Nothobranchius furzeri: one gene and its partners. The protein of the gene in region 1 interacts with the protein of each later gene in a pairwise test. Links are inferred from orthologs where the notes say so. Each region holds a gene or a part of one and is shown in the gene's direction. Other genes may lie near its edges. The genes, in order: mlx, mxd1 and mxd4.

What was found.
Region 2: the proteins of mlx (region 1) and mxd1 interact in a two-hybrid assay, tested with the Homo sapiens proteins (2 studies listed by BioGRID and IntAct). The link is inferred for Nothobranchius furzeri from reciprocal best matches to the Homo sapiens genes MLX and MXD1.
Region 3: the proteins of mlx (region 1) and mxd4 interact in a two-hybrid assay, tested with the Homo sapiens proteins (2 studies listed by BioGRID). The link is inferred for Nothobranchius furzeri from reciprocal best matches to the Homo sapiens genes MLX and MXD4.

What each region holds. Positions count from the first base shown.
Region 1 is NC_091745.1:7,586,038-7,596,660, reverse strand, and holds mlx (max-like protein X), read left to right. Parts: upstream 1-5,030; 5' UTR 5,031-5,103; coding exon 5,104-5,130; intron 5,131-5,864; exon of another isoform or gene 5,865-5,932; coding exon of another isoform or gene 5,933-5,944; coding exon 5,945-5,981; intron 5,982-6,107; coding exon 6,108-6,197; intron 6,198-6,753; coding exon 6,754-6,863; intron 6,864-6,958; coding exon 6,959-7,061; intron 7,062-8,080; coding exon 8,081-8,180; intron 8,181-8,927; coding exon 8,928-9,129; intron 9,130-9,213; coding exon 9,214-9,270; 3' UTR 9,271-9,494; downstream 9,495-10,623. Other genes in the region: fmnl1a (formin-like protein 1), read right to left, coding at 3,775-3,960. UniProt on the Homo sapiens protein: Transcription regulator. Forms a sequence-specific DNA-binding protein complex with MAD1, MAD4, MNT, WBSCR14 and MLXIP which recognizes the core sequence 5'-CACGTG-3'. The TCFL4-MAD1, TCFL4-MAD4, TCFL4-WBSCR14 complexes are transcriptional repressors.
Region 2 is NC_091757.1:29,111,839-29,122,221, forward strand, and holds the start of mxd1 (max dimerization protein 1), read left to right. Parts: upstream 1-5,246; 5' UTR 5,247-5,362; coding exon 5,363-5,387; intron 5,388-5,786; coding exon 5,787-5,831; intron 5,832-6,507; exon of another isoform or gene 6,508-7,288; coding exon of another isoform or gene 7,289-7,355; intron 7,356-7,758; exon of another isoform or gene 7,759-7,816; intron 7,817-7,920; coding exon 7,921-8,020; intron 8,021-10,383. Other genes in the region: snrnp27 (U4/U6.U5 small nuclear ribonucleoprotein 27 kDa protein), read left to right, coding at 3,370-3,502, 3,977-4,092, 4,203-4,282, 4,547-4,611, 4,925-4,979. UniProt on the Homo sapiens protein: Component of a transcriptional repressor complex together with MAX. In complex with MAX binds to the core DNA sequence 5'-CAC[GA]TG-3'. Antagonizes MYC transcriptional activity by competing with MYC for MAX binding.
Region 3 is NC_091746.1:81,011,059-81,021,765, reverse strand, and holds the start of mxd4 (max dimerization protein 4), read left to right. Parts: upstream 1-3,739; 5' UTR 3,740-3,944; coding exon 3,945-4,008; intron 4,009-4,439; coding exon 4,440-4,539; intron 4,540-10,707. UniProt on the Homo sapiens protein: Transcriptional repressor. Binds with MAX to form a sequence-specific DNA-binding protein complex which recognizes the core sequence 5'-CAC[GA]TG-3'.

The sequences.
Region 1 (10,623 bases):
CCCCCCCCCCCCACCACCACCACCACCACCACCACCACCACAGTCACAGACGAGGCACGGTAGGAAAACAACCCGCTGTCACAGAGTAGTGGAACTATCATTGCGCAGCCCAGAAAACTTCACCAAGGGAGGTATCTTGACCAGATGCCCGAGCCACCTCAATTGGCTCCTCTTGATGTGGAGGAGCAGCGGATCTACTCTGATCCCCTCCCAGATGACCAAGCTTCTCCCTCTATCTTTAAGGGAGAGCTCAGACACCCAGCAGAGAAAACTCTCAAATTTCAGCCGCTTGTATCCGCGATCTTGTTCTCTCGGTCACTACCCAAAGCTTGTGACCATAGGTGAGGGTAGGAACGTAGATTGATCGGTAAATCGAGAGCTTTTCCTTCTGGCTCAGCTCTCTCTTCACCACGACAGATCTGTACAACGCTTGCATCACTGCAGACGCAGCACCAATCCACCTATTGATCTCGTGCTCCCTCTTTCCTTCTCTCGTGAACAAGAGCCTAAAATACTTAAACTCCTCCACTTGGGGCAGGACCACATCCCTGACCCAGAAAAGGCATTCTACCCTTTTCTGAATCAAGACCATGGTCTCAGATTTAGAGGATCTGATTCTCATCCCAGCTGCTTCACATTTGGCTGTGAACCGCTCCAGTGAAAGCCGGAAATCACGTTATGAAGCCAACAAGACCACATCATCTGCAAATCCACCAATCTGCTCCTCTACCTCTATATGGGCGTTCCTCAAGGGTCGATACTGGGCCAAAACTTATTCAAAATCTATATTAATAACATTGTTCATGCTGTTGACAGTGCTCATATACATTTAGATGCAGATGACACAATTTTATATGCATGCAGTTCTACCTTGAATGCAGCTCTGTCCTCCTTGCAACACAACTTTAATTGTCTTCAACATGCCTTCTCCAACCTTCATCTCCATTTAAACACAAGTAAAACAAAGTCCAGGATCTTCAACTGTAACTTACTGCAATCAACTTGCCACCCTATTGTTTCCCTGGATGGTACAACAGAACTACAGCTTGTCAGTTCTTATAAGTATCTGGGTACCTGGCTTGACAGACACTTTCATTTGACATTTATATGAATTCATTACTTTCTGAAGTCAAGTCAAGAATTAGGTTTCTATACCACAACATCCTTCACTCCCTCTGCAGAGCAATCCTTGGTCTGAATGACAATCCTTTCCATCTTAGATTACGGTGACATCATTTATAGGACTGCTTCCAAAAAACGTCTTCATAAACTCGATGTCATTTATCACTTAGTAGTCCGTCTCGTCACTGGTGACTCTTTTACTACTCATCATTGTTATCTGTACTCTCTCGTTAACTAGACATCACTCCATTCCTGCAGGTTGTTACATTGGTATCAGTTTATATACAAAACAATCATCGGTAGAACCGCATCATATCATCAGTCGTTACTCATCACATCCAACAACCAGTGTAATTTACGTTCCAGTAGCTTAATCTCCATGGTTATTCCCAAAGCTTGCACCTCCTTTAGCCTCTCCTCATTCCAGTTTTCTGCTCCCAACGACTGGAATGAGCTGCAAACATCATTGAAGCTCACTGCCTACATTTCATTATCTACCTTCAACAAGTCATTGCAATCAAAGTTTCTGATGAATGTTCCTGCTTCTGAGTTCTTAAAGACTGTTATAAAGCGACAGTGTGTATTTTTCCTGGCGATAGCGGGCAGTACATACCTAAATGAATGTAAGCAGACATTACTTTTGTGTTCAAGTAAGACCTTACCAACGGATGGCCATTTGGATCAAAAATCCCTGAGAGCACATCCTCCAGCAAAACAAGAACATCAAATTGTCTTTCATCACTGGCAATGGGTGAAGAGGTAAATGTGTAAAACAATGTTTGTGTATGGTGAAAGTTTTCTTACCATTTGTTACAAATCAGTAAATGTGTTTTGTCCTCGCGGGCTTCTGTAGAAGGAAACATGGCATCCAATATGGCATCGCCCAGAGACTTAGACCCACTCCCATGTATTTTAGAATGAATTCTATGGTTATATGTTATGAAACACCAATATTTTTGAACAACTGGGCATCTTTTAAATCATTTACAACAACATTTCGATTGATTTTTCCAGAGATTAATGGTAAAAACTACACATTGTCACTTTAAGTCTGTTTTTATTGCTTGTGTATTATATATGAGAACAGTCCTTTGTCTTTATGTCTAAGTGTTTTATTTTATTTTTATCTTGTATGTTTTTATCTTATCCTTTTTTTTCTTTGACGTAAAGCTAACTATTTGTCTATTGCTGTTGCCTCTTGGCCCGATAGTCATTGTATGACAATGAGTTCTCCATCGACTCATCTGGTTAAATAAAGGTTAAATAAATAAAATATACCTAATGTGTTAAATGTACCTAATCATTAGGTAAATATTACACATTAGGTCTTAAAGTATTAAATATACTTAAGGCATCACATCGTTTTTCCTCTACAAAGCGTGACAGAACCAGATGTAGGTGTGATCTTGTGGTGCAGACGTCCCTCACTAATGGGAAAAAGGCTGGTTCTGGTTCACGGATCGTTTTGTACCAGGTCACATGGAAGGCGTGTGAAAAATCTTTTAAAAATATACACATGTGAGTTTGATTGGGTTGTTATTATTGATCTGCAGGATGTTTTGTTTAGGTTACAGTGTGATGACCATAGAAGTGAATTGCATAATGATGACATTTGTCTCATATGTTTAGTGATTGACTGTTGTTTTGAGCTCTTTATCATGCTGCTATGATGTCATGTGTGACTACACCCCAACCCCTTCTAACCAGCGGAAATGCTGCGTCATTAAAAACAGATCCAAAATGCAAAAGAAGCTGGAGATCAGTAATGTGATCTTGTGTGATATTTGATTTGGGCAACAGTGTGTGACTGCAGGACAGTCGAGCATCTGATCTTATATCTCAAAAAAAAAATTAAGTCCTAAAAATGAGCAGCTCTGCAAAAAAACAGACATCCTCTTTATGTTTGCATCATCTTGTTGATCTCATGCAAATGAGCCAAATCAGAACTTGGACCTAGACTTTCTCTGCATGACCCTTTAAAGAGAATGATGTTGTTATCTTTATTCATGTTGTTTCCCACATCTAGCCCTTCTGGGGCGTTTCAGGACAAACTGTGAGTTTGTTTTGGTTTTGATGAAACTGACAAATAAATAAATAATGAAATTAAAGGGTGATCTTTTGTTTCAAACATTCAGCTTTTGTTTGTTACTAGAATAAACAAAGATAAATATTGAAGTAAATCTAAATAAAAGAACATTTTTGTTTCCTGACAAAGAAAAGCTGCAGGAGTTCTGCTTTTGTAGACTGCTGGGAGGATGGTGAAACACTTGCTTTCCGGTCTTTCGCTCTTTCTTATAAATATGTTGCTCAACTTCCCCTTGAGCCCAGCTACACATGCATGCACTAATCTCCCTTCTCCTTACCTTGCCTTTTGAAATATTAGTTTAAAAAAAAAACACAATTGCTACCAAATAAAACTTTTAAACACCTGTTAAAAAACAGCCACATCATGTCTGGGATTTACTTGGTTAAAGCTGATTTTGGCAGCTGAATAGTAAAAATGGAGATTAGGCAGTCGCAACAATTGTTGCTTTTTCTTTTATTTATTTACATTTTTTTCTTTGCCTCTACGTCATCATTACCTGTGTGATTCCTGGAGTTCCTACTATAACATCTAATGGATTTCATGTGCAGCAAAAGAGTGAAACTCACCAGCACTGCCTTGAAGCGCTCCTCCAGCTCCTCCTCTGGGGGCATGGGAAGTTTTGGGGGAGCCGGCTGCTTCTTCTGCGGAGTTAGCGTGGGGTCACTCATTGTTGAAGCTGCCCCGACGGAGTTCCTGGCCTCTCTGCCCTCAGTCGGCTCATGCTCCGAGCCCCCTACAGCCACATTCCCCATCACTAATCTCCAAATGTAATCCAGGAGGAAAGCTGTACACAAACCCCTTCACCTAAAACAGAACCAATGTACTCCAAAGCAGAGTGACCAAAGCTGACCACTCCAAATGACAAGAAGCAAGTCTGAAACCGTCAAGGTGAGGAACTCCAAACTCTAATTCAAGGAATCCTCCTTTGTCCTGAGGAAAGGGTGGATGGTGAAAAAACAAGGTATGCATTCATGTTTGTCTCCTCATTAACATCTCTTGTCTACAGGTTTCTGTCAAAGTCAAACTCTTTGTTAGGGTCTGCTACGAGAAATACTCAATGCACCTACGTCGCACCACACTGGCTGACTGAGAACTCCTCTGCTTGCTGAAGAGGCCAGTATGTGAGAGGAAGGAGAATGTGACACACTCTGTCACACAGACAGAAACCACAGAAGCACAAAAGCAGAAGAGTAACTTCCTGTGTGTGACTGCAACAAAAACCTGGTGTTCAAGACAAGGTGAAAGATAACTGTCAGCACTTGATACAGAGCCCAACATGAAAAAAAAACTAACACAAGACTAAAAAAGCTGGGTGGTTTATGTTTAACAAATATTAATTAAAAATACCTTTGCCCTGAACCCAGAGTTTCTTGAGAGTAGCCGCTGCCAGATGTATGTTAGTCACATCTGTTTGGGTGTCTGATGATCTCAGGTCATGTCAATAAGGTAAAGACAGGTTTATACCATCAAACCAGGTAAAACAGCGTCCTCGTGCGTTCGAGGCTAGTTACTGCGTGTAGTTATGCTGCGTTTGAGGTCTCATGGCTGTTATCAGAAACTTATGTATCTAAATTTTGTAATTCAACAATATCAAATACTTTTTCGAGACAATATATGATAACATTTATTTATTTATTTATTTATTGTTACAGTTATTTTCAAGCACTCTCAATAACGTAGGAGTTTCATTTGTGTACTTTCTAAACCAGTTTGTTGCTAATATTAATAAACAGTTGATGGCTTGTGTCTGTGTTGCAACAACAGAAGTAAACGTGTTCAGCTTTTGAAACAATATTTTTGTCTCTGTGCTTTTAGTCCTCTAAGACTAGAAGAGAAAATAGGAATTCCCGGGTCACGTGAAGGCAGCAGCACTATTAGTTTTTTAGCGTTTCAAAATGACGGACCCAGAGGAACACTGGAAAGTAAGTCACAAAACCCAACTTTTTCAGCCCTTGGTTCGTATCTTTGCGTTTGTGAGTGTGGAGTAGAATGTGATCAACTGTTTTCTCAACGCTAAAGTTGGAACATGGCTTCAAAAGCTAGCTAACATTAGCTTGGTGACGTATTGTAGCAGTTAGCCAGCATGCTAGTTAAGTAAACAAAGCCTTGAAAACGGAATTGTTTTTCCATATCAAATGAAGTCGTTTAAAACATATATTTACATGCACAAACAGCCAAGGAAATATGGTTATTTAGAACTTTTTGGCGTATTCTTAAAATTAGTCTGAAAATACTTTTTGGGTGACAACAGCAGCTGTATACAAACTAATATGTTAATAATAAAATATAAAAAAAGGCACTGTGTATTTTTTCTTGTAAGTTGTTTAATAGTCGATTAACAGTATTTTAAATCATTTTTATCTTCAACCTTCAGAGCAATGTTTATACAGGACTAATCCTCACATGTCTGATTCTTTATTTGCTGAAGACTGACGAGGCCTTTGAGGAGTTTCTCCCCCAGAATCAGGAGGAAATCTAGGCTAACATACATAACTACATAAATAAAAACACGGACTGTTGTGTTGTGCTGCACTACATCAAACAGCAGATCTGTGATTGAAGCAATTTTATCTTCTGTTCTTGAATTGGACAAATCAGGACAGTGCTCAGTGGGGTTTGGATTGGCTTGCTGTTTGTGTTTTGTCGACATATTTAGGGCAGCACACATTTCCCCTCCTCAACCCAATCTCACAGCTTCTGGTTTCCTTTTTCTTCTTCTTGGTGATGGCTGGACAGACAGACGGGGCTTTCAGTGACAGTGGGTTTGACACAAGTGAGTCATTTTTACTTTTCTAATGAATGCTTTTTCATTTTCACATAGCACATGATTAATTAAATCATTTTTGTTAATGGTGGGTTTATTTTTAACCCTTTTTATAAAATCTGGGTTGTTTTCCAGGTTTCTTTGCTGAAACTGCTAGAAAGGGAAGCATTGTTTCCAGAGCCAACAGTATCGGCTCAACCAGTGCCTCTTCAGTACCAAATACAGGTATCGTGTTTAAAACACAGATGATTTTATCTTGCTGATAGTTTATAAGTGTGAACGTGCCTTTTGACTACTCCTTATCCTTAAAGAAAAGGTTGAAACAACAAATCACAGAGATGGTGCCTTTATTTATTTTGTTTCCTGTCTCACATTCAAACACAAACCTGTCTGGTGAGTCTTGATGGTATTTCGTCTCATGCTTTAAAATCTAGTCTGGGAAGGTGAACTTGCCATATTTAATAAATAAACTCTCTATGTTCTACCTTTTTGCATTTGCTAAAAATCCGTCTATAATTTGACCGGACTGAAGCAAACATATATTTGCTGCTGAAACAGAAACAGCCCTGTGTTATATTGTAGAAGGAGCCAACACAAAAATGATGCAAGTTTTCATTCGATTTTAAGATTTACAAAATTAAAAACATCCGTCCATTTTTTCTCATTTTAAACTTGATTTAAATAATTTCTGTTTTTAAACTGACACCAGATATGTAAGCAAGAAAATAATTGCAAATGAGTTCATTGAGAGTACAGATGTCAGAGGCTTGTTCCCAAACAGATGATGAAGACAGCGATTACAGGCACGAGACGTCATTTAAAGACTCCTTTAAAGATCGCCGGAGACAAGCACACACTCAAGCTGAGCAAAAGCGCAGAGATGCAATCAAGGTAGGACTTCAGGACTCCAACTGACACACTTTATAAGAGTTAGATTTAAAATTCTGGCTGTTTAAGAGTTAATATTGATTTCTATGTGTCATTAGAAAGGCTATGGTGACCTGCAGTCCATCGTTCCTACGTGCCAGCAGCAGTCTGAGTTTGCAGTTGGAGCCCAGAAGATCAGCAAGGCTACTGTTCTGCAGAAAAGTAGGAACCTTTTGCAATTTGAACATTTTTACACTGAACTGTTGGTAGAAAAAAAGAACTCTGTACAAACAATAATAAAACCTTTTAGTTATTTTAAAATGTGCAGGTTATGCGTGAGACATGATGAATAGCCCTCCCTGCTGCTGTTCTTCAACTTTATTAGCCATAAAATAACAAATCAGACACTGTTAATAGGCTGAGCAGTTTGCATATATTTAAAGTAAACCTCCAGCCGCTGCCTGGGGAGGCTCCGACTCGATCTCTTGATCAGGAATCATTCGGAATCAGGTGGGAAAGGACGTGACCTTTTACATTCATCCTTATACAAATTTTTAAACTGAATAACAATGGCTTAGGTTGAATTTGAACAAGTTCTGCTACGTCAATATTCTTTGTTTCATAGAGAGAAACGTCACAAAATTTACAGACGTGGAGTTCAGACACTATAACATGTAGCTGTTAGCTAGCAGGCTAACACAGAGCTAACGTGTCGCCGTCAAGATGGTTGCAAACGTCGGGTCTCCTGGAGCCGCGGTGAGTTTCCTTCTCGTCACACGCAGCTCTGCAGGTGTTGAGCAGAGAAAAGTGAGTCTGCCGACCGTGCACATCATGCCATGCACATCACTCAGCACGGCGACGAGGCACCTTATCTGTTATTAATAATATATTCATATTATTAACATACTTTTAATCAATTCACTTCTTGAACGAGTGATTTATTTGGCAAATAAATTAAGGAAATGACAAAAATACCAGAAGAAATAAAGATGAATAATAAAGAGGAGAACTTGGATGTATTCTTTTTTCTTATTTTAATTGCGTTGCTGAAGTATCGGATCGGGACACGGTATCAGCACATACTCGCAATCACATGACTGGGATCAGGAGAACATAAACGTTCTTGTTTAAACAAATGCTCATTTACAAAATGGAGAAGTTGTAACGACACCCCCACGTTTAAACTTCCGGTGTTGTAAAGAAGTCGCTGGTTGATGCTTTTCTGTATTTTATGGCTTTAGCTATCGACTACATCCATTTTCTTCACAAAGAAAAGAAGAAGCAAGAGGAGGAAGTTTCCATCCTGAGGAAAGAAGTGATGGCGCTTAAGATAATGAAAACGTAAGACGGGTTTTTATTGGACTATCTTTCTACCTGAGACTTGTGTAAACACATCCCAGTCCTGTCTGACCAGTGGTGTGGAGGACACATTAGGACCTCAGAAGTGACGAGCATGGACGGGGGCAAATGAGACTGATCCTCTAGGTCTGATCTGAGGCTTAAAGTGACAGTGTGTATTTTTCCTGGCGATAGGGGGCAGTAGATACCTGAATTGTTGCAATCAAGCTGTATTTTTGTGTTGGGAGTAAGACCTTACCAACAGATGCCCATTAGGGTCAAAAAGCCCTGGGGAGTGCAGACTTCAGCAAAATGACAAGCACATCAGACTCCCTTTCATCAGTGACAATGAGTAAAGAGGTAAACGTGTAAAACAACGTTTATGAACGGTGAAGTTTTAGTAAGCACTTGTTACAAATCAGTAATTGCATTTTGCCCTCAAGGGCTCCTGTAGCAGCCAGGAAACATGGCGTCTAATACGACTTAGACCCGCTCCCATGTAATGTAGACTGGACTTTTATGGTTACATGTTAAGAATCTGCCAATATTTTTCAACAACTGGGCACCATTTAATTTATTTTCAACAACATTTCGATGGATATTTCCAGAGATTAACGATAAAAACGGCACATTGTCCCTTTAAATACCTAGAAGTGTTAAAGGCAGTAAGGAAATTCAGTGGAACCATCTGGGATATTAAGAAAGGCAGGGTTTGTGGTGTTGTTCTGAACCTGCTGTCTTTCCCAACAGGAACTATGAGCACATAGTGAAGGCCCACCAGAACAACCCGCAGCAGGGAGAAGATCAGGTGTCTGACCAGGTCAAATTCAACCTTTTTCAGAACATCATGGACTCCCTGTTTGTGTCCTTCAGCAACTCGGTTTCAGTGAGCAGCTTCCAGGAACTGTCAGCCTGTGTTTTCAGCTGGATCGAGGAGCACTGCAAGCCACAGGTAAGGAACGCCACCGGCGCGTCCTTCTCAGCAAACCAGATCGCTCAGCTGAGATAATTTAGTGCTTTTTCTGCTCTGCCTCAGACGCTGCAGGAGTCTGTTGTCGGCGTGCTCCGGCAGCTCAACGGCCAGCTTTATTGATCGAGGAGAAGCCTCCGGCTAACTTCCAGAAAATGACTTTTGACTTGCTCTTGCCTCTCTGGATGGAGCAAACCCTTCAGGCCGTGCAGTATTCGCACGCGTCAGCCCATCGGTGACTCTGCGCCTGCGTGTTGATTACCTCATCGTGTTTTCTTAGCAGGAATTTAAAAAAAGCTGCCTTCAGCCACTTTCTGACCGTGTTTACATTCCCATAGAGCTGAGTGTAAAACACGAGAAAATTTCAACTTATGCTTTCAAACAGAAAAATGTTAGCACACATTTTAGCCTCATCGCTACAAAAATCTGACTTATTCCATTTATTTATACATGTGGTCCTTTTTTCCGGCGCAGCACGTCTGCCATTCCTGTCAACGGTCACTGCTCCAACGCTGAACGCAGCTTCTGTGGCGCCTCAGAGAAACACACTGGTGGTTTTAAAGTCCTCTGCCTTCAGTGTGGCGGTAAATAAATGGTTAGTTCCAAGAATGAGGCGGATAAATGTTGTAAATATGCCACAGGTCTCCAACAGGCTTTAGTGTTTAGTCACAGTTTAGCTGCAGGTGACCTGTCAAAAAGGTTCATTTAGCAGGTGTTGATTTTAATGAGCCTTCTTTGAATTTCAGCCCGATTTTAAATGCTGTCGTGTTTTCATGATCCGTGACGTCGCTCTGTGCTACAGTGAAAGCAGAAACTCTAAAATGCATCAGTTTGTTTTTTTTATTCCAAACCTCTGACTCTAGATTCTCTAGGATCAGCAGCAGATTTGAACGTTTTGTTCTTGTGGACATGATCTGCTGCGGAAGTCTGGCTCGTTTCATGTTCTAATATTTTTCTGTTTGAAATGTTTAAAAGGTTACGCACAGATAAAAACACACAGCCACTAAAGTCTCTCTAGTTTTTCCCGTAACGTCAAAACTGCACTCTTCCCTCTGCCCTGTTGTGTATATGTTCAGTGGACTGCTGCTGATGCTGTTTTGATGACATCGCATGGTGGCCGGTGGTGAATTAATCACCATCAGGAGAGAAACTTCAATTTATGGACTTAATATTTTATTTGCATACGAGAACATAAAGTGCAAAACCAACAGCAGAAAAGGGCAGGATCGTAGTTTTGTAGTGGTGACCAGCGAATGAGCCCAAAGCAGTTTTGGCAGTATTAACAACTGTGAAAATGTTGATTTAGAAACAGCTGAACAGTTCACTCTATATAATAATGTATGCAGCAAACTATCTGAAGCCTGTTAGAGGTTTGAATCATTTGCTGACTTTCTATGTAAGCTCAGGATAATGAAGATGCTTTAAAGGGGAGAAAACACCACAGTTGCCTTTAGGGTCACAATCAGCCCTCGATGC
Region 2 (10,383 bases), on another chromosome or scaffold:
GTTTAAACTACGACTAGCTAAGGTGTTAATCGCCAGCGAACACATTTTACTTCCTAATTGTTTTTTTTAGTCATTCAAATACCTCAAATGAAAGACTTGTAGGTCCCCAGAAGCTTCTAGATCCGCGCATCATAAAGGCCCGGTGCCCTGGTCCGCTGAGCCGTTCAAACAGCTCATGCCTATTTTGATGAGATTTTCTCAGATCTCATAAATGTCGTCAAACCAGCAACTTCTGAAATTCTGTTTAGTTTCCTCGAACCAGAATAAACCATGGCAGTTCTGAGCTAGTTAGTTTATATTGTAGAAATCAAATTATCATATTGTTTTCATCAGTTTTGAATCACTAAGAGAGTCACATCAAATATTTTCTCACATCTTCTCGTAATTAATAATAATAATAATGCATTGAACTTATATAGCGCTTTTCTAGACACCCAAAGACGCTTTCACAAACTCTCACATTCACACACACTGCTAGTGATGGTGAGCTACTTGTAGCCACAGCCGCCCTGGGGAGGTCTGACAGAGGCGAGACTGCCATTTGGCGCCGTCGGCCCCTCTGACCACCACTAACACAGGCAAGTTGGGTGAAGTGTCTTGCCCAAGGACACAACAGCAGGATACCCCTGGCGGGAGCTGGAATCTAACCCATGACCCTCCGATCATGAGGCAGCCCGCTCTACCACCTGAGCTACTGCTGCCCCAATTAGGTTCCAAGCCCAAAGGGCAGGGAACCCTGTTGTGTTTGTACGGATTTTTCATTATTTTTCAGTATTATTCTTCTCCGCTAAATCCGTATGGGCGCAGGAGCCAGAAAAAAATCGGACATGGCAGTCTGATAGAAAATCCCTACCTACTCGGATTCAAAAATTCAAACCCGAAACACCTAGGTGGCGCTATTGCGTAGATCAAATAACTCCCTGCAGTCAATAACTTTATATGTGCGCCTCTACTACCCTCCAAGGCGCCAGGTGGGGGACGGGCGCAGGTTGGCTTAGAACCCGTTGATAACTGCTCACAGTTCTAGTTCTTGATGTTTTAACTATTTTAATTTTTAATCTTGTTTAGTTGCCCATGAATTTAAAGAAAGGACAAAAAAAAAAAAGAAATAAAAGTATCTTGTATAGAGCCTCTCAAGATAAAAATCACAAGCTGCTTCACAAGAACAAAAACATTTTCTAAAAAATGATTTAAAATATGGTTAAAAATGAAGGGGAAAAATAATTGTGAATAAAAAATGTGAGAAAATGAATAGGAAAGTGGGAAATTGGTGGATCCTGGGAAAGGCGGAGTTGGTAGAGCAGAACATGGAGAGGGTGGTGATGAAGGTCACACAAAAGCCAGCCTGAACAGGTGAGTTTTCAGCTGCTTTTTAAAGGAGACCACTGAGTCCACTGATCTCAGGCTCAGGGGGAAAGAGGTCCAGAGTCTGGGGGCCACAGCAGCAGATGATCTGTCACCTTTGGTCTTTAGCCTGGTGCTGCACAACCAGCAGGCTTTGATCACTGGACCTCAGGGACCTGCTGGGGGTGTAGGGACTAAGAAGATCACCAATGTAAGATGGTGCTTGTCCATGTAAGGCCCTATAGACCAGAACCAGGATCTTGAAATGAACCCTGAAGTTGACTGGCAGCCAGTGAAGCTGGAGGAGAAGCGGGGTGATGTGGGTGTGTTTGGAGGACTTGGTCAGAAGCCGAGCACAGGCATTCTGAACCACCTGCAGACGGTTCAGGGAGGTTCTGCTCAGACACGTGAAAAGAGAGTTACAGTAGTCTAAGCGTGAGGAGATGGAGCGGAGAACAGTCTCAATATAACAAGATGCTTATGATGGGATGCACAAAATAAGCTTAGACTTCAACTAATTCCTATTTAGAATAAACTAATTTATCCCTGATAACTGGACGATTAACTATTAAAATTGCAAATTAAAATAAAGCCATTCCTTCATGTCACTTATAAACAAGGATTTTCATCTACAGCATAAAGGCTTTCATGCAGTACTAAATCAGGGAAAGTTTCCCCTTTCAAAAGTAGTGTAGATAGTTCAAAAGTCATTATACCTTCATAGCTACAACACGTGGTTTTTTTGTGCATCTCAATAACAAAACCTGTACTTTTCATAAGAGTTAAGTTTTTACCCAGAATCTAACAACAAAACACAGAAGGATGCTGAAATTTTAATTTATTTAACACATTGTAAAATAACTGGAACAGTTTTTGTGAACAATCATTTGCTTAAACATATAAAGTTGAGTAAAAATGAGAACTCGGAGGAGTGGTGGTGGTGGTGGGGGGGGGGGGGGGGGATTTCCACATGCAAGAGCTCCGAAGGTAGTCCTGCTGACAACTGTGGAGATGTAAGAAAACCAGTTATTAGTGAGATAAATGGGAAAGAAATGCTCTGGAGAAAATAGTCCTTTTGATTCCAGCTGCACCCCTTCACAGAAGTGATGTGTGAAAAATCCAGTCATCCAGCTATCTGGAGCAGTGATTTCCAATGCTGGTCCTCTGTGGCAGCTATCCTGCATGATTTAGACGTTTCTCTGATCCAACACAACATGCATTCTGTAGAGCCTGAGGCCTGCAGTACAGGTGAAAGAAGCAATGGCTCAGGTGTGGTGGAGCAACTCAGACATTCAAGATAGGGACCCCTGTGGACGCTGGTCAGACCCCACTGATCTAAAGTTACTGAATGACCACATCTGTCTTAGTTCTGCATCAGTGACACAGACGTTTGGCTTCAACTGTAAAAAGTGGTTATGAAGACATAAAATAGTCTTTTTGTTGGACTAGCATCAAATCAGTTGTTGAAGTATTTCAGTAATTTAGTCTTCCTTATACTTGTGTGTGTGTGTGTATGTGTGTGTGTGTGTGTGTGTGTGTGTGTGTGTGTGTGTGTGTGTGTGTGTGTGTGTGTGTGTGTGTGTGTGTGTGTGTGTGTGTGTGTGTGTGTGTGTGTGTGTGTGTTCTACAGAATTTATTTAATAATAATGCATTGAACTTATATAGCGCTTTTCTAGACACCCAAAGACGCTTTCACACACTCTCACATTCACACACTGCTAGTGATGGTAAGCTACTTGTAGCCACAGCTGCCCTGGGGCGGTCTGACCGAGTCGAGGCTGCCATTTGGCGCCGTCGGCCCCTCTGACCACCACTAACACAGGCAAGTTGGGTGAAGTGTCTTGCCCAAGGACACAACAGCAGGATACCCCTGGCGGGAGCTGGAATCTAACCCATGACCCTCCGATCATGAGGCAACCCGCTCTACCACCTGAGCTACTGCTGCCCCTTTACAACATGACTATACTGGCAAGGGACATCATTTGTTATTTAGTTAACATTCTGATTTCATGACCTACGCATCAGAGAGAAGACGATCTCGCTCTACTTCACGTGAGCATGAGCGAAGGCGGAGGGAGAGGGACCGCTCTCGCTCTAGAGATCGGGAGCGAGACCGACGCAGATCTCGTTCACGTTCTCCACACAGGAGGCGTTCAAGGTGAGTTTTTGTCCCCCTGATAAAAAGCAACATGCACACATACAAGTGAAACTCAGAGGATTAGAATATGGAGCAAAAGTTTGTTAATCTCACTAATTCAACTTAAAAGGTGAAACTAATCTATGAGACAGTCATTCCATGCAAATCCAGATGTTTCAGCCTTTATTTGTTGATGAAACCCCCCATTCAAAATCTCAGATGATTAGAATATTGTGAAAAGGATCAATGTTCTAGACTCAAGTTGTCGCACTCTGATCAGCTGATGAATCCAGAACAGCAAAAGGTTCCTGAGCCTTTAGATGGTCTCTCAGTCTGAGCTGGATTACTGACATGAATGGACTTTTGCACCAGATTCTCATTTTCCTGTTTTAGCCTGTAGACATGAACCCTTCTATCCTTTCTTAGACAATAATGTTTCCTTCCTCAGTTGTTGTGATCCTTTGTCCTGCAGCCGTCTTTATGCTCTTTGGACAGGTCTCCCCCTAGGCGCCACCGCTCTTCCTCGTCGTCTCCCATGAGACAGAAGGACAGACGTGATGATGAGCGCAAAGAAGTGAAAGACAAGTCTTCAAAGCCCATCCAGATCTCAGGTTTTGTGTTGCTGATTGTTTTCAGAAAGAAATCCTTTGTTCAGTTTGCTGGACATTTATAAACGTCTTTAAACAATGAGTTAAATCAGATATTCTTTCTGTTTTTACAGCAGAGGACATGCAGGGCAAAACGGAGGAGGAAATTGAAATGATGAAGTTAATGGGATTTTCTTCATTTGATTCTTCTAAAGTGAGTGAAAAATGTGTGCATGCAGCCACCAGGTGGCGCTGTGTTCCTGAGTTGTGGCCATTCACCACGACGGCTTCATGCTTGCTGATACTTCGCAGTTTTAAGACTGTTTGACATTCAGAAAACGACACAAGACAGGAAGTGCACCATCAGCCACTGTCTAGTAGCGTTTGCTGATTGATGAACTGTAAATGTAATAGACCACATCAGGATAGCATCTGCAGCATGTATTTCTGTTTGTGATTGAACATTGTTTTCCCACAGGGGAAGAAAACAGATGGATCAGTTAATGCATTTGCCATCAACGTTAGCATGAAGAGAAAGTACAGGTACGTTCACAGAGAAAAATATCAAGTTAGCCTGCAAATACTGAAGTTTAGCGGTGTCATGGAGAATTTTGTGCATAGCACATTAAGCAGAGCGACTTTTAAAATGATTGTTGAAGCAGCTAATTTTTAATAAACAAAGTTTTATCCTGTTGGGAAATTGGCATTACAAGCAGCAACCACTATTAAAGTAGCCAATCACGTCAGCAGGTGTCTCTCTGCAGAGAATCCTGCTCTCCTATTGACTCTTGATGATGTAATCTGCAAGTGTTGAGAGGGAAGTTGTGATGCACTGTTGTTCTAAATGTTTTTACAGGCAGTACATGAACAGAAAGGGAGGATTCAACAGGCCGCTGGATTTCATCGCTTGAAAATGTCACGCTGCATTTCCTCCTTTTTCCAGCAAGGGGAGGACATGGATTACATGCTGTTAAATGTGATGCAGCAGTTCTGTGTATATATTATCACTCAACATGTAGTTGTTCCTTCAGTTATTTAGTTTTTGTTGCTGTGCTTTTTACGTGTTGTTGGAAATAAACTCTTTGAAATTGATGGTGTGCTGATTATGTAGAGCATGTGTTTCTTTTTCTGCCCAGATCTGCACAAACATGTCAATTTGTGTTGATGTATTTGAGGAGTCGTCACTAGTACCAGAGACCAGGGAGCTTCGTCTAATCCAATGTCTCCTCTGGACAGAGATACCTGGGGTCGTTCCTGAGATCGGCTGGAGCCACTAGTCCAGTTGAAAACTCAAATGTGTCAAAAGATCTTCACATATTGTGAGTTTTCTGTAAATGTGAAAGTTTTTGTCAGATTACTGCAGCATCTCACAGTCCCACACATCTATGCAAAAGCGGAGCTTTAAAGATAGATTAAATAAAAGTTTAACTTTATTGAAGTTTCAAACAACAGAAGTGTGTGTTGTAAATGTTCTTGCATTTTTTATTTATTTTTTATTAGGGTTTGGATTTTTGGTGCATAAGAGTACCTGGAAGGTACTTTTCGTTGCACGAGAATGATAAAGGAGTTGTCTCGGTTTCTTTTCTTTTCTTTTTTTCTTTCTTTTTTTTTTTTTTTTTTTTTTTGTTTGTTTTGTTAACATATTTTTCGTCGTTTCACGTTGATTGCATTCAGGAACATTGTGTACTTTTTTTGAATGCGGGTCCGCTTCTTTTCAGTGTGCCGGCGAATGAACCTGGCGGAAGTGATGAGCGGCGACGGAGGTCAGTCAGATTGATTGAGCAGATTATTGCACTGCTAGAAATGTATACATATAAATTCTATTCAGATAGATTCCTGCATAAAACCTACTATGGTGGGCGTGTTGGACTCGTAACACTGCGTAAGCTCCGTCCACCCGGCGCGCTGGTACGTGCGTTGATATTTCAGTCTAGATGTTTTCACAGAGTAACAAGTTAATGTGTGTGTATGTGAGTAATAAAGTTTCTATTAAAAAGTTTGTGAAAGTGCGCTTGCGCGCACATTGCAGGTTGTGATAGGAAAAGTAAAGGGACTATCAAACCAATCGTAGAAGGAAGAAGTGAGGCAAACAACACCACGAGAGCCAATCACAGCCGTACACCACGAAACAGCATGGCAGGGAGGCGTGGCTTCTGTTAAAGGGACGTTGACATTTTCGTGAGCTCGTGGGCATCGGAGCCAATAGCTGACAAGTTTACCTGAAAACAGCCAATCACAGAACGTGAATTCAGTATTGAGAAAAGCCGTCCATTATGGCTCCCTAGTTGTTTACTGTCTAGTCCACAGACATCGGTCTAGTTCACTTAAGAACCAAAATGGCGTGGACGGTTATCAGTTGCAGTGTGGGTCGATCCCTTTGAGTCATTGATGTTTTAGACAGCCAATAAAAGCTGGAGTGGATATAGTCAACATCCAATCATGTGACAGCACACAGCGGCTTTGTGTTACAGTACAGTTGGGAGCTGCTATCCACATAAGCCTCTATTTTGGATGCACTTTGACAAATTTCCGCCGTTCTGTGTCAGTCGTTACATTCAGCTAGACGAGGCACGCGTTTTTAGTGATAACCAGTACATAACCAGCTAGCCAAAAAGTCTGGAACCAAAACGGCTGGATTGCATCGTCAAGATAATCCAGGAATTAGTTCATCTTTTTAAAATATTCCTGATTTCCGGCAAGTGCGTCCAGCCTAACAGCATCTTTTTGTTTTTTGGCTGATGACTTGAACCTAAAGTCGTTTGTAGTCAGTCGCTAACGTTTGCCAACTTTTTGTTGTTATTCCTAAAACTAGTCAGAAAATACTATCGATTTTTTGTTTCGTTTTTATCAACAGCCATCTGTATTTCTTGAAGAGAGATTCGTCTAACCAGTGATACTAAGTCACCCAAATCAAATGGTTTAAAGGTATAATCTTAGCTGTGGGGAAGTGTTAGCGTCTACCGTGGCTAAAAGGCTACCACCAAGCCTTTAAAGCTGTTTTTTTATATAGGAGAAACCAGTTTCGCTTTCCACGTCTTTTATCGGGACCTTTTATTTTAAAAATCGATTGATTGAAATCCTGCAGAAGCAACTCGAAAACAACATTTTAGAACAATAAGTGAGAACAACAGGGAACCCAAGAGTTCAGAAATAGAAGCGTGACTACAGTAACGGAATCCCTCGTTGGATTATTGTAATATTATTAGTGTTATTGTTGAAAATGGCGTCGATCGAAATGGTGCAGATGTTGATCGAAGCAGCAGAGTACCTCGATCGCAGGGAACGAGGTAAAGTATATTTTAATTCTAATTCTATGCTGTTAAAAAACAACACATTCCCACTTCGTTCATGTCTGCCCATTATCACGCTGATCGGGCTCTTTATGCGTCCGGCAAATAGGTTTTATATTCTTAAGTTGCACATCCTGTTCTTAACCCAGGTGTTCATCGTTGACTATGATGATGACAATAAATAGGATTTATAAAATATGAATGGTGCAGTGATTAACGTGCATTGTGCATCTTTTATGAAAGGAGAAATCATGCAAATGCTATTAAAAATATAGGAACACAATGTTTAGTTGCAAGCTCCTCCTTTCCTTCTGTTGTGGTTTGCTGGTAGGGTTTATCGTAGTTCAGGATGACATCATTGTCCAAGCTGTGAGGGTGGGTGGGGGGGCACTGTTTAAAGATACTGCATTATTAAATCCGTTCATTCCATGCATGCATCCCAGCATAACACATTGGATGTAAGATGATGCAGATGGGGATGTGTGCAACATCTCGTGTCTCCCACCCTGGCTATGTTTGCAGATAACAGGACATGTGACCACTGTTGTTTATTTGCTTGCAGAAGCTGAACACGGCTATGCCTCCATGCCACCCTTCATCAGCAGCAGAGAGAGGGAAAGCTTGAAAAGGAAAAGCAAAAGCAAGAAAAACACAAGTAGCAGGTAAAGGCATACTCAGCTTGTTGAATTGAAAACCTGGGGGGGTGCTGCACACAGCCAGGACGCTTGGGTTAAAGGGTTGACTCCTATCACGTTTAAAGAATAACCAAGGCTTTCATCCGATTTCACAGACAGCAGAAGACCCAGTAAATGCTCTATTATTGAGTTGCATTAACACGAGAACTTACAGCTCTGTTTTATCTTAAGTTCAGCTTTTATCGTGTTAAAGCGGCCCAGGCAGTCATCAGGTAAATGCAGTTTATCTTCTGATGGGAACTCATTTAGTCAGGTTACATACTAACATGATTAACACTTCCTCATATTGGATGCAGTGGATCTGACTGTTAATCATTAGCCTTGAGTTGAATTTGAAGTCGTCTGAACTCCAGTTTTCTAAATGCTTTCTGTGGCTCATTAAAAACTAGCAATAATTCTGCCCACTTTATTTCACTTCAGTTAAACAAAAGAGCATATTTTAAATGATAGAGCTACTACCTTAACCAGATTCTATTATTTTGGCACATATTTTATGTAACATGTAATATTTGAAAAGAGAAGAAGACCTATCCTCATGGCCTGAGTGTTTCTTGGTGCTTGGCTCTGTTGAAACTTCCTTATTTATTGCGTTTTGTTTTGTTTTGGTGCCGTTTCCTGTCTGACACCAGAAAGGTCTAATGTGATCTGTGTGAGTGACTGTGTGTTGTGTGAATATTATTTTTAGACTTTGTGTTGTGTTCTGTAAATTGAGTGACTGACAGCATCAAATATCAGTTTGGTTGAAAGTCAGTGGCCACTGGCGGAGGCGAAGTGGGTCAGCCAAGGTGACTGAACGAGACATTTTACTGGGAGGCTGGTCCTGGTGAAGCCACTCACCTTTATGGATGTTTGTGTATCCAGAGCTTGAAACCAGAAGAGTCGTTTTAGTCGGCACTCTGATGTGTGAGCGTTAGCTTGTTTGGTTAATGGTGGAAATACTACTTCTACTTTAAACACAGGCATAGACAGTCCAAGTCCACCCATCCATTTTCTCTGCTTATCCGGAGTCAGGTCGTGGGGGCAGCAGCCTAAGAAAAGAGGCCCCGGCTTCCCTCCCTCTAGCTACCTGGGCCAGCTCCTCCAGGGGAATCCCAAGAGCCTCTTTTGGAAAAGAATGGCGCTTATTTGCCCCAACGCCATGGCAGCATCAAGGATCTGTAGGTCGTTTATAAGCGGTCAGACCGTGGTGATAGTGTTGTGCAACTGTGTCCTTTTTGCAAAAGATTACACAACGGCAGTATAAGTATAAAGGGGATATGGGGGCGGTCTCTGAGCTGCCACGCTCACAAGCCAATCATAAAGGTTTCTGTCCCCCACAGTCCCCGTGCTGTCTCTGGTGATCGGAGCTCCAGCTCTAACGGAGAGAAGCTCCTGGAGCTCCGCGACGCTCCAGGTTATCATCTCAGCTGATTCTATTTACAAAAGCAAAACTTACGGCTCGTGTTTACTTTCTGTTACAATATAGTTGCCGGCCGGAGCTCTGCAGTAACTTCCCATGTTATCATGACACCTCCCTTTGTTGTGCCAAGGTGAAATCTGCATCACTAGTCCGGTGTTGCGGTAAGATTACTACCAAGCATGGTGGAATGAATGTCGCCAAATTCCTTCAGTGCCATGCTGCCATGGCGTGTTCATAAGACACACTGTCCAGCAGTAGTATGCTGATTTTCTGGCACAGTGTATCTTCTAAAAGGAGCTAAGGCATTCCCTGGTCAGTTTAAAGACATAGTCCCTCCAGTGTGTCTTGGGTCTTCCTTTAGGTCTCCTCCCAGTTGGACGTGCCCGGAAACCTCACCAGGGAGGCATCCTAACTAGATGCCCGAGCCACCTCAACTGGCTCCTCTTGATGTGGAGGAGCAGCGGATCTACTCCGAGCCCCTCCCAGACCAGGCTTCTCACCCTATCTCTAAGGGAGAGCCCAGCCCAGCCGGCTGCTTGTATTTGTGATCGTGTTCTTTCTGTCACTACCCAGAGCATGTGGCCATAAGAGAGGGTAGGAACGTAGATCAACTGGTAAATCGAAGCTTTGGCGTCTGGCTCAGCTCTCTTCACTGCGACAGATCAGTACAATGCCTGCATCACCAGGTTTCAAGCACCGATCCGTCTGTTGATCTCACGCTCCATCCTTCCCTGACTCGTGAACGTAACCTCCAGAGACACATAAACCCCTCCACTTGGGTCAGGACCTCATCCCCAACCATCTAGGGGTTTGTTTAATTTGTAGCACAAGAGTTTTTAGGCTAAGCTGTGTTGTTTAAAAACAAGTGAACCAACTTTATTCACACAGTGCTTCTGTTACAGCTGCGTTAGTTTACATTGTGATGTATAGA
Region 3 (10,707 bases), on another chromosome or scaffold:
TCAGTAACGTCGCATTATTAGCCAATCAGAGGTGTGGTCCCCCCCCCCCCCCCAGCTAACAACTACTTCCTGAAACAGGAGCGCCAGAGCTTTTTTTCCACAGAGAACAACTCGCATTTATATCACTGACCACTGCAGATTGAATGAGTGAATGACAGCTTTGACCCATCCAAATTAGAGATGGCTGCCAAAATATAAAAGTGGCTTTACCTCAGCCAGTTTGTCTCGTACTGGGGTTGAATTTGGTATCACAAGTTATTTCAGGCACAAACCCTAACTGCTAAAAGTTCATGTAAAGCCTTGATAGTTTTTGTGAGATTGCACATGTTGCTTTTTTTCAAGATTTAACAAATTGATTGTAATGCCATCTTTTCTCAACATAAAGATTATGATCTTTGTGCTAGGCTCTTAAACCGAGATGCTTCAATATAAATACTCAACAGAATTGTGCTTTTATTATGCACCAATTATATAAATTAATTCTTACCTGGTTGAAAAGAGCATATTAGTACAAAAAAAAGTAAAAAAATAATATGTACTTAGAAATGGACATGAAATCCAATTTGATCCTCTCAATATTCAATATTTGAGCACCTTTTATTAAAATAACTGTTCAGTTATTGTGAGTTTTCCTAAAGTCAAAATGACTAAAGAGTAAAAGTGGTATGTAACGTGACTCTTGATGGCCTGATGCTATCAAAGTCAAAAAGAGAAAAGGATGAAGAGGTTGAAATTAACAACAAAGCTGTTTCCAGTTTCACTGCTGACTAAAAACCTACAATATGCTGTAGTATTTAATTGCTCATGTGGAAACATAAAAATGTCAATTTAGTCTTTGAAAATATTTTAACATTTGAATAAATACCAAACATGCATAAAAGCCCCCCAGTGTTGATTTTATGACCTACATTTATCAAACTGTGGTAATACTCGTCTCATCAGAGGAGATCTGATAACTGTTGGGAGCAGTTTGTGGCGTGTGTCACCTTGTTTGCATTAGATGGACGACAGACAAAAGAAAAGAAAAGAAAAGAACAGAAAGCATTTGGATGCACGGGCCTGAGGCGATGTGGTGGACGAGGCCTGAGCCACTCTGAACAGAGTGCATGCAGATGATAAGTCTATAAATAGAAAAATGAAACAGGAGGGACAAAAGCTATTTCCTTTCAAATGATGTAAACATTTGACTGCAACGCACCAGCTAAATCCATGTCAAAAGTATGAGATCTTGTTTAATTGCGATATGAAAAAAATCCTAAACACATTTCATCAAAATTGAGATTTTTCATCTTCTACTCAATGGTGGGAGATGTTCCAAATTTTAAAAATGCAGCAAAAATAAATGCAAAGCACCACCAAGAGAACGTGCTGTGTATTGAACAACAAATGTCAGGTTTAGAACCAGTTAGAGTTTTGGTGCACATTATTTAGCAAGTGGCAAAAAAACACATCTTTCCACTGAAGTCAGCTTCAGCAGGAGTAGAAACGGGACTTCTAATACAGAAGTCAGGCTGATAAATGTTTGCCTACGTAAAAACGCTCTTTTCTCTACGGCACTGGCGAACAAATGAAGAACACGGAGAACACACGGCTCAAAAGAGTCCGTCTCCATGTGGCTTCTTAAACCAATATCCCCACAGATGTGGGCTCATGATAAAAAGGGTTCACGTTTCACAACTTTTCTGTAATTACGCTGAAAGGACAGTTATGATGTATGGCTTTAATATGATATCCGGCTCAACTAGAAGAAATGCATGCTGCAGCTTAGCTGTTGTGAAACAATAGCATTTTACAGCATGAGCAACTAAATTCTCACTATGACTCCACAATAGCGGCACAATGTGAAACAAGGGGGTTGTGAGGATGATCTGGTGTTTCATTTATTGCGTTTTTACACCACTACAAAGGCAGAAGGGTGAATAACATCAGCCCTAGTTGAATACGTCATCAGATAGACAAGCTGAACATGCATGAGAGGAATATTTCTCTCACTCGCAAGCTAGCCCAACAAGAGCTAAATATTACAGCATCACATGTATTACAGCACTTTGCATTATGTTGCAATAAAACCTTCAAATAGCTCATGAGTGTAATTCAGTGTTGTTGTTACACTGAACTTAAGTCATGCAAAATACAGACAGATATGAAAGTGCTTGACTCGCAGCAGAATGGGGTTAATGCATTATGACTTGAAATCGGTGAACCAAACACCAGCTTGATTTTAGATCAAAAATCACCCGCATCCGATGACTGCAGGGTTGAATGGACTGAAAGCATTTCTACTGAAAGCTGAGTTACTGTATTTATATAAAAGTTAACATTTAACAACACGATCATCAACAGGATTTTCATAAAAGTCTGCAAAGCATTGCTATAAATTAGTTGTTGGTGTGGCTTCAGCTTCACACATTTTTGGTCCTCATCCAGTCTGCTCATCACACCTGTAAATTTGCTGACTTTAACAAAACCGACAGCCACATTTGAAATAATTCTGTCTGTGGTAAAAGACCCCAAAGTAAGCACAACACAAACATTAATTATGTTACTGGTCTTCGGGGTCCTTTTTCTCATCATTTGCATTGAAAGTCATTTCCTCAATGTGATGCCTTCAGAATGCAGTCCAGCAAACATCTGGCTGCTAGCATTACAAACTGCCTGCCATGCACAACAAACCACATTTGCACGCCCCTGTTGAGCTACTCATAACTCTTCCTATGCTTCAGCAGCTTTGACACTCTGCCCAAGCTCACTTGGCGCTGGACATGATGGGTCATCCCACTTTCAAATGAACCTCAAGTTCTGGATCCACAGCCGCAATTACAGACTCCAGACCAGTCACACGATCTGAACTTCATTTGGATGAGATCAATGAATTTAGATTGAAGGGGGGTGGATTTGCAATAAAATGGATGGCATTCAACAAAATGTTTAGGTCATCCTTCGAGATTCAGCCTTTGCTATTCATGTCATTTCACAATTTCTAATCTAATTAAACATTGAAATTTAGTATAAAAAAATATATATATATAATCTAAAAATAATGGCCATAATTTAGCACATTCTGCCAAACTCTTAGAATCTTCATTTTGTCTCTTTAAATGTAGATATATGGTGTTTATAAAATTGTTTAATTGTGAAAATACATTTAAAAGCCTTTTATTTTGAAGTACACACTTGATTAGCTCTAGTTATTATTACACTTGACAGGTGCTTAAATAAACTACATCATTTTCAACTTTCTTTACTGTGTATTTCTTAATACCAAGCTAACGAGTGTGTTGCCATATTGTATCTTCACATCAGAAATTCTCATCTCAGTTTCTAGCAGGACTTTCATAATGACATGGACAGGAAATGAGCACCAAAACACGAACACCGCATGCTAGCAGGTCTGTTATACCACACGCTCCTATGAGAAATAGGACCAGACGTCTTGTTGACTGAAAGAGTGCAGTTTACTTCACCACTAGAATGAAAAGAAAAAAAAACACCATACTTTGGGAACTTTATCTCATTTGGCAACCAAACCACCCCAAGTTCAAGAAAATGCACGCCCAGAGTCGCTTCCAGCCAATCATATGCGTCCTTCATGTGTAAAACCAATCAGCTTCAAGATAGGTGTGGCGCTGAAGCTGTTGCTAGGGCATGTCCCCAATGACTTCAGACAGTTTAGCCAATCAAATAGCAGCAAAGAGCTTCATTGGTGAGGACACACCTGGGACCGGCGGAGAGCCTTTTCTGATTGGATAAAGTCACGATCACTCAACTTCCTGAGTTCAGGAGCTTTATTGTAGTTTGGAGTCGCTAAGACTCAGAAGTGAACGTAGCAGCGCACATACATCGCTCTGAAACAGTTTATTTTTTACATTTTCATTCCATTATCCTATGAATTGTTTATTTGTGTAAATAGATTTTTCTATTTTTATGACGAGACATCAAAGAAGATGGAACTTAATTCTCTTTTAATTCTGCTGGAGGCTGCAGAGTATTTGGAGAGACGAGACAGAGGTAAAGGTAAAGCTGGGCTGACAGCGTTTATAGATTATTTTCTGTAGCTGTTGGGTTTAGGAGGAAGGGGTTTGAGTTGATGTTTGGGGTTTAACAACATCCACAGTGCAGGTATGATGTCACTTTTCCCTTTCAGTGGGGCACAGACCAGGCGATGGGTACATCCTGGACTCAGCAGCTTTATGCTTCAGAATAATCACAGATTAAATTTTTTATATATATATTCTACGTTTTTCTTTTTTGGGTAGATTTATTTTTTTCTAAACACACGTTTTTTGTGCTTTTAATATGCCTTATAAAATATCTGAAAAATGTGGTTGTTTAGCCTTGATGTATTTCCTATTTATTCACTCACTTTCCCCGCTTTTATGGCTTATTTATTTATCAGTTTATTTCCCCCCTTGTGATTTATTTTTGCTTTGTGTCAACAGAGGCAGAGCACGGCTATGCGTCGGTTTTACCCTACAGCAACGACTATTCCCGAAAGAAAACAAAACCTACGACAATTTCCAGAAAATCTCCGAACAACAGGTAAAATTCACCCCATTCTTTGTGTGTTTACACTCGTGACAGCTCGTGCAAACCCTCCTATATGCAGACACTTACACATATGCAGTAGTACATAAAGTGCTTTGGTGTCTGAGCTGGTCTGGGATCGGTGTTTTGGTCTCTCCAATCAACAGTGCCACGCGTACACTGTCAACTCTGCTGCCTCTGCTCAGTTTCTGTTGCTGTTAGCCTCCCCATGCCAAGAGGAGGGGCACACACACACACACACACACACACACACACACACACACACACACACACACACACACACACACACACACACACACACACACACACACACACACACTTTACCATTCTAAACTAAGCTTACGCCTACTTGAAAGCCCTAAATGTCATTTTTTATTTTATTTCTTCATGTGGTGTTTTGTTTGGTGTCTTGTTGCTAAATGCAAGTCCTGCAGAAGATGAAACAAAGAGAAGGGGTTCGCATTTCAGAAACTGCAATCCCTTTTCCCCACACACCCAGAGAGACCATGAAGGCCTCATTGTTGCTCGATCAAAACAGCAGCTTCTCACCCGTGAGGCTTTCACGGACCTGCTGCTTCTGCCCATTACAGGCGGATATTGAGGAGCCACGTCATTACGTAACATAAAGAGCAGGTTTCAGTTTTGGTTTTCTGATTTCAGACCTGCTGGACCTGTTAAACATCAACAGCTTTTATCTACTCTTTTAAAGAGACAATGTGTAGTTTTTACTGTTTATCTCTAGAAATATCCATCCAAACGTAGTGGAAAAAGAATTCAATGTTGAAAAATATTGGCAGCTTTGTAACATAACCATGACAATCTAGTCTGAAAATACACGGTGGTGGGTCTAAGTTTCTGGGCAACGCCATTTTAGACACCTCTGTCTTTGGGAGCTCGTGAAGACAAAACACATCTACTTATTTGTCACAAACGGTTTTTAAAACTTTCGCCGTTCATAAATGTTGTTTTACACATTTACCTCTTCACTCGTTGCCTGTGATGAAAGGGAGTATGATGTGTTTGTCATTTTGCTGGAGGTTGTGCTCCCAGGGATTTTTGACCCTAATGGCTATCCATTGGTAAGGTCTCACTCGAACACAAAAATATCAGATGCTTGCAACGATTTAGGCAAGTACCGCCCCCTATCGCCAGGGAAACACACGCAGTCACTTGAAACTTTAAAACATTGAACTTGGGATAGACCGATAGATCGAGACGATATTTACCATTTTTGATACGTCACATCTGCCGATAAACCGCTTTAGTAATGCCGATTTAAAGTCGGGCACATTCTTGGGCAGTCTGGTGCTGCCGCAGGGTTTTATTTGAATGTACGTTTACGTTCTTGAAAACATCTGCTTAGTCAATGTTCAACTGACGTTTCTTTATGTTTACCGTATTTTTTGTATTTATTACTTGATCCGTTCGTCGATTTGTTTGATTACCTTTGGGTAAATGTTGGTTCTTATACTGCGCCGTGTACAAAATCAAGATCCAAGAGCTGGTTCGATTCTGACATTCAAGACTGATCACGTTCAGAAATGTTGTGCTTCCACTTTTAATGGTGACATTTTAGCATGCAGACACGGTGGAGAACAACTAGATTTTGGCCACAAAAATCGGCAGCACATATCGGCCATCGGCTCATCTTGATTTCTACATATCGGTATCAGCATTAGAAAAAGCCATCTAGGTTAATCTCTATTTAGAACTGTTACATTTAGGTTTTATATGTTTTTGTAACATTTTCAACCTGATTCATGTTTCTGTTGATTCTTTGAAATCATAACTTGCCAGTGTGAGCTGGCCCCTACTTAATTTATGTTTTATTTAAAAAAACACCTAATCTAGATTTGATAAACTGCACAATTTACTCAAAATAGATGTGGCGCGATATTTTACTCACCTTTTGACTCACTTTTAATTCACTGTAATTGCTAAAAACAGAATTGAGACAATAGGTGGACCGTCCCGTTTCTGTGTCACGAATGGATGGTGTGAGACGCGCCCTGAGCAGGCATCCTATCCGAGGTTACACGCAAGCTCCCATTCAGGCTGATCTAGTCCAGGTGTGCCGTATGGATCCTCTCTGTACATCAAATGACCCGGTGATTCAGAGGAAAACAGTTTGAGCGTGAATGACGTTGGCTTAACCAGGTAGGAGGTGGGAGGACGGTGGGTGTAGAAGTGAAAAGGGTCGTCCTAAATAAGAACGCAGCACTTTCCACGTTCGTTTTTCACTCTAACAAGGGGATATGTTTGTTTATTACATACGAGTGTGTGTGTGTGTGTGTGTGGATGTGCCCGCAGGGCGTGGTGGCCAAAACACACACCTGTGCCACGGGGCAAACACCCACCCACTTGATTTATTTTCTTCCTGGTGTTTTCGTGACCAGCCTGTTGGCAAACATCACAACCCTATTTGTGTTTACCTGCAGCTTTTTTTGTAGACATGGACAGGATGCTTGAGGTTAGTGGTGACGGACGGTGAAGGAAAAACGTTTTCTCATACTTTAACTCAGGTTTTCTTTTTTATAACTAGAACTTTTTCTCAAAGAGTCATTTTGATGCTAAAATCTGCAGCTTTCCTGACACTAAAATGACTTGGAACGCAGTTGCTGTTTGCTTCAAAATAAATGGAATAAAAAAATAAAACCGCTAGTAAAGATGCTGCTGAGTTTCTCCTCAATTAGTTCCTTTTCCTCTGGCCTTTCCTCTTTTGTTTTGCATGTCACATAATGATCCTTTACATAACAGGCAGAGGTGTGTGTTCACCTCGCGTTGCCGTGGATCCGTGCGGATTCCCTTCCTCTGGATGGTTTCCTGGTCGTGCCTTGTGCTTCGACTGTGACATGTCCCCTGCTTGTGCTAGTTTGAATACCAACTTTCTTCATGATGGAGCTGAGCTCCGTTTTAGCTCATGGGCGGTGTGAAATTCTGCGTTCCTTCCAGGGTGATTTTTGTGCCGCTGTAAAACAGCGTTGTCCCTCAGATGCTGGGGCCCTTTTCCTCGGCGCAGCTGTGGGAAAACCACTGCTTCGCCAGCACAAGAGCTCTCAAACAGCGGAGAGTCTGAAAAGGCTTGTTGTCCGTCTGGCTCTTTGTTGTTCCTGTTTTTGTTTTTATTGCCGTGGTATCCATGACGGTCTCATGAACGGAGGGCCTGTTTCAGGCGGACAGCGTGTCATAATAGGGGCTGTCCTCGGAATAGCCCACACGCTGAGGAATTCTGCTGAGCGTCTGAGCCTCCAGACGTCTGAGAGTGTTTTTATTCTGTCCTCTCTGCTGCCGCCCGGCCAGCGTGCAGCAGCAGGGCTGTTTTTCCTGGAGGAGGGCTGTTGTGCGGCGTCACACATTCAGCTCTCACCCAAGACTATTTTTGCTCTTCCTGGACGTGCAGAACTGGGAAGAATTTCAAAACATCAGGCTCAAAATACAGAAGTGTTTGTGAGAATTTTGGATTTGCAGGTGTCTGGAACCGGTCTCAAACCTTTCTCACATCAGTTTCCAAAAAAAAAAAAAGAGTTGCAGACTAGGGCAGCACGATATTAGGAAAACCTGCGATTTTAAATAACAATGATTAATATTGCGATGATATTACTTGCGATAAAGAAAAACTTAACTCGGGAACAAAAATAATCAAAAACAAAGAAATAAACAAATCATAAAAATGAGAAAAGCAAAAGATGTGAAGAAAGGGAAAAAGAAAATGAACAAGAAAAGGCAATCAGCGGATCCCGGGATCAGCAGAATCAGCAGAACAAAGCTGAGTCAGGTGTTTGCTACCCATCAGAATGAAGGGCCGTCCGCCTCGGGGGCGGGCATCTAACTTATGAGAACACACCCAATTGGCCAAACGGGTGAAGAGCTCTATTTGATTAGTTAAAACATCCTCCTGTTTGATCGACAGAATGCATTATGTTTAGCAAACATTTGAGCTGACCATTCATTTCGATATTGATCTGTTCTTTGCGATATGCATATTTTGCATGCTGATATCGTGATAATGACATATTTACGATATATTGTGCAGCCCTATTTCAGACGTATTTAGTGAATGACATCTGCACAAATTTGTTCTTTCATCACGATTCTGCGTCTAATTGGCTAGATACTCGCCTCTTTCTGAGCAATTTAGTCTTTATATTAGGGATGCACGGTACATTGGCATCATTATCGGTATTGGCCGATGTTAGTCATTTTTTAACATATCGGTATAGGTCAGTGTTGGTCATTTTATAGAGAGAAAGCAAGTCATGCTTGCTGTTATGGACGATAACAGATATTTCCCAAAATAAATATAAATGTGTATATTTCAGGAAATATCTTTTATCGCCGATAACTGCAATATTAATATAGAATAGAATTAAACTTTATTGTCATTGCACATGTACAGGTACAGGGCAACGAAATGCAGTTTGCATCCATCCAGAAGTGCTTTAGCCGTGATATAGATGTATTACAATATATATTAGCAATAATGTAGATGTGTAAGTATATTACAGAATGGATCTATTACGTATGTTATAATGCACACGGTATGAAGTATGTTATGAATATGCTATGACTATAAGTATCTACAGGCTGTAGTTAATACAAGCAGTCCATGAGTTTAACGTGGGTCTTATGTCAGGAGGCAGAGTTCAGGAGTCTGACAGCTGTTGGGAAGAAACTGTTCCGGTACCCGGTGGTCTTGGTATACTATGATATCAGATATCAGTATCGGCCCAAAATTTCTTATCGTTGCATCCCTACTTTACAATTCACATTTAGTGTCACAAACACACAAGTCAGGTCTGTAAGTTGTGTAGGAAAGCCAAAGGGCACAAAACAGAAGTGAAATATGAGAGAGTAGCTTGATATGGAGATGCATTTGTAAGGTCTGCTTTACTGGCAGGTGGCAATGGATTGTTTTAAAGGGCAGGTTCACTGACAAACATTTTGTTTTACTCATCATCTTTGAAAAAGATCAGTGACTCTAAGTTTAACGTGCAAGTTGAATGCTTAAGTAGTGTTCTGCCCCTGTTTCCTGCATTAGCATCTGATGGAAAAAAGACACTCGGTTCAGAAAATCCTGACAGATCTACGTCACTGTGTCATTTAACACTCATGGACTCACTCATCTTGGATCACGCCGAAAATCGCTGTTGTTGGTTTAACGTCAGGAAACAGCAGGGAACGTCTTGAGTAGTTGAAGCTAACCGTTAGCATCCACCACACAGCATAAATCTTTCAGGCCTGTGTTATTTGTGGAGTTAAAACATCAACATTGCAAAACAAAAAGAGTCAGTGGTAGAGTCCAGTTGGGTTTAGCCAATCAGAGGCAAGATGTCCAAACATCAGGAAATAAGACTCCAAATCCGGCCATCTTAAGTCACTTTCTCCCCCAGCGGACTTCTACATCTTTAAGCAGGTGCACCGGAGCTTTGTTTTCCCCAGAGAACAACTTGCAAGGCATTCATTCCTACTGGAGACCGTGTTAAATAGGAAAAGGCTGATCTTTACTGGGTCATAAATCATCAGATGTTCCAGATTGTGTTCACAACAAGATGCTAAACTTATGTGTGTATTATAAAGAAATAAATCATATTGAGCTCATTTCTTCTTCCTCCGAGCCGCTGACATGATTCCAACGTTGTTTTGAAACACGCCCTCGCTCTGTGAGGTTTAATGAGCGTGAGGCTAAACGAATCAGCTGGATGGGTTCCTGAAAGGGTTTCTGTTGGAGCAGACAATGGCAGCGGGCCGTCTCATCGTTTTCTTTAGGAAGCACCTTTGTTTGTCTGAGCTCTCCTGAAGAGGACTTGAACTTCCACCGTCTGTGTAACGTCTGTCTCGCTGTGAACGGGGTGAAGCGCACTCTTCTGTAACCTTTGACCTTGACTCTGTTTGTCACTCACCAGTGGGGATTATTGAAGCCACAGCATGTCTGACTCATTTAGTCTTTTTTAATAAAAATCTGATCATGTTTCACGTCAGGTTTGTGCAGAAACACAGGAAGCGTTCACGCATCGCTGTTCTGAAACGCATGCACATACCTCTGCATGGTTGAGTTCAGTTTTTTTTATTATATCCAGTTTGCAACGGTTGAATCTTCTTTAAATTTATTGTACTTTTGCTTTTCTTATGAAACATTTAACTGTACATCAGCTCCGAGCCACA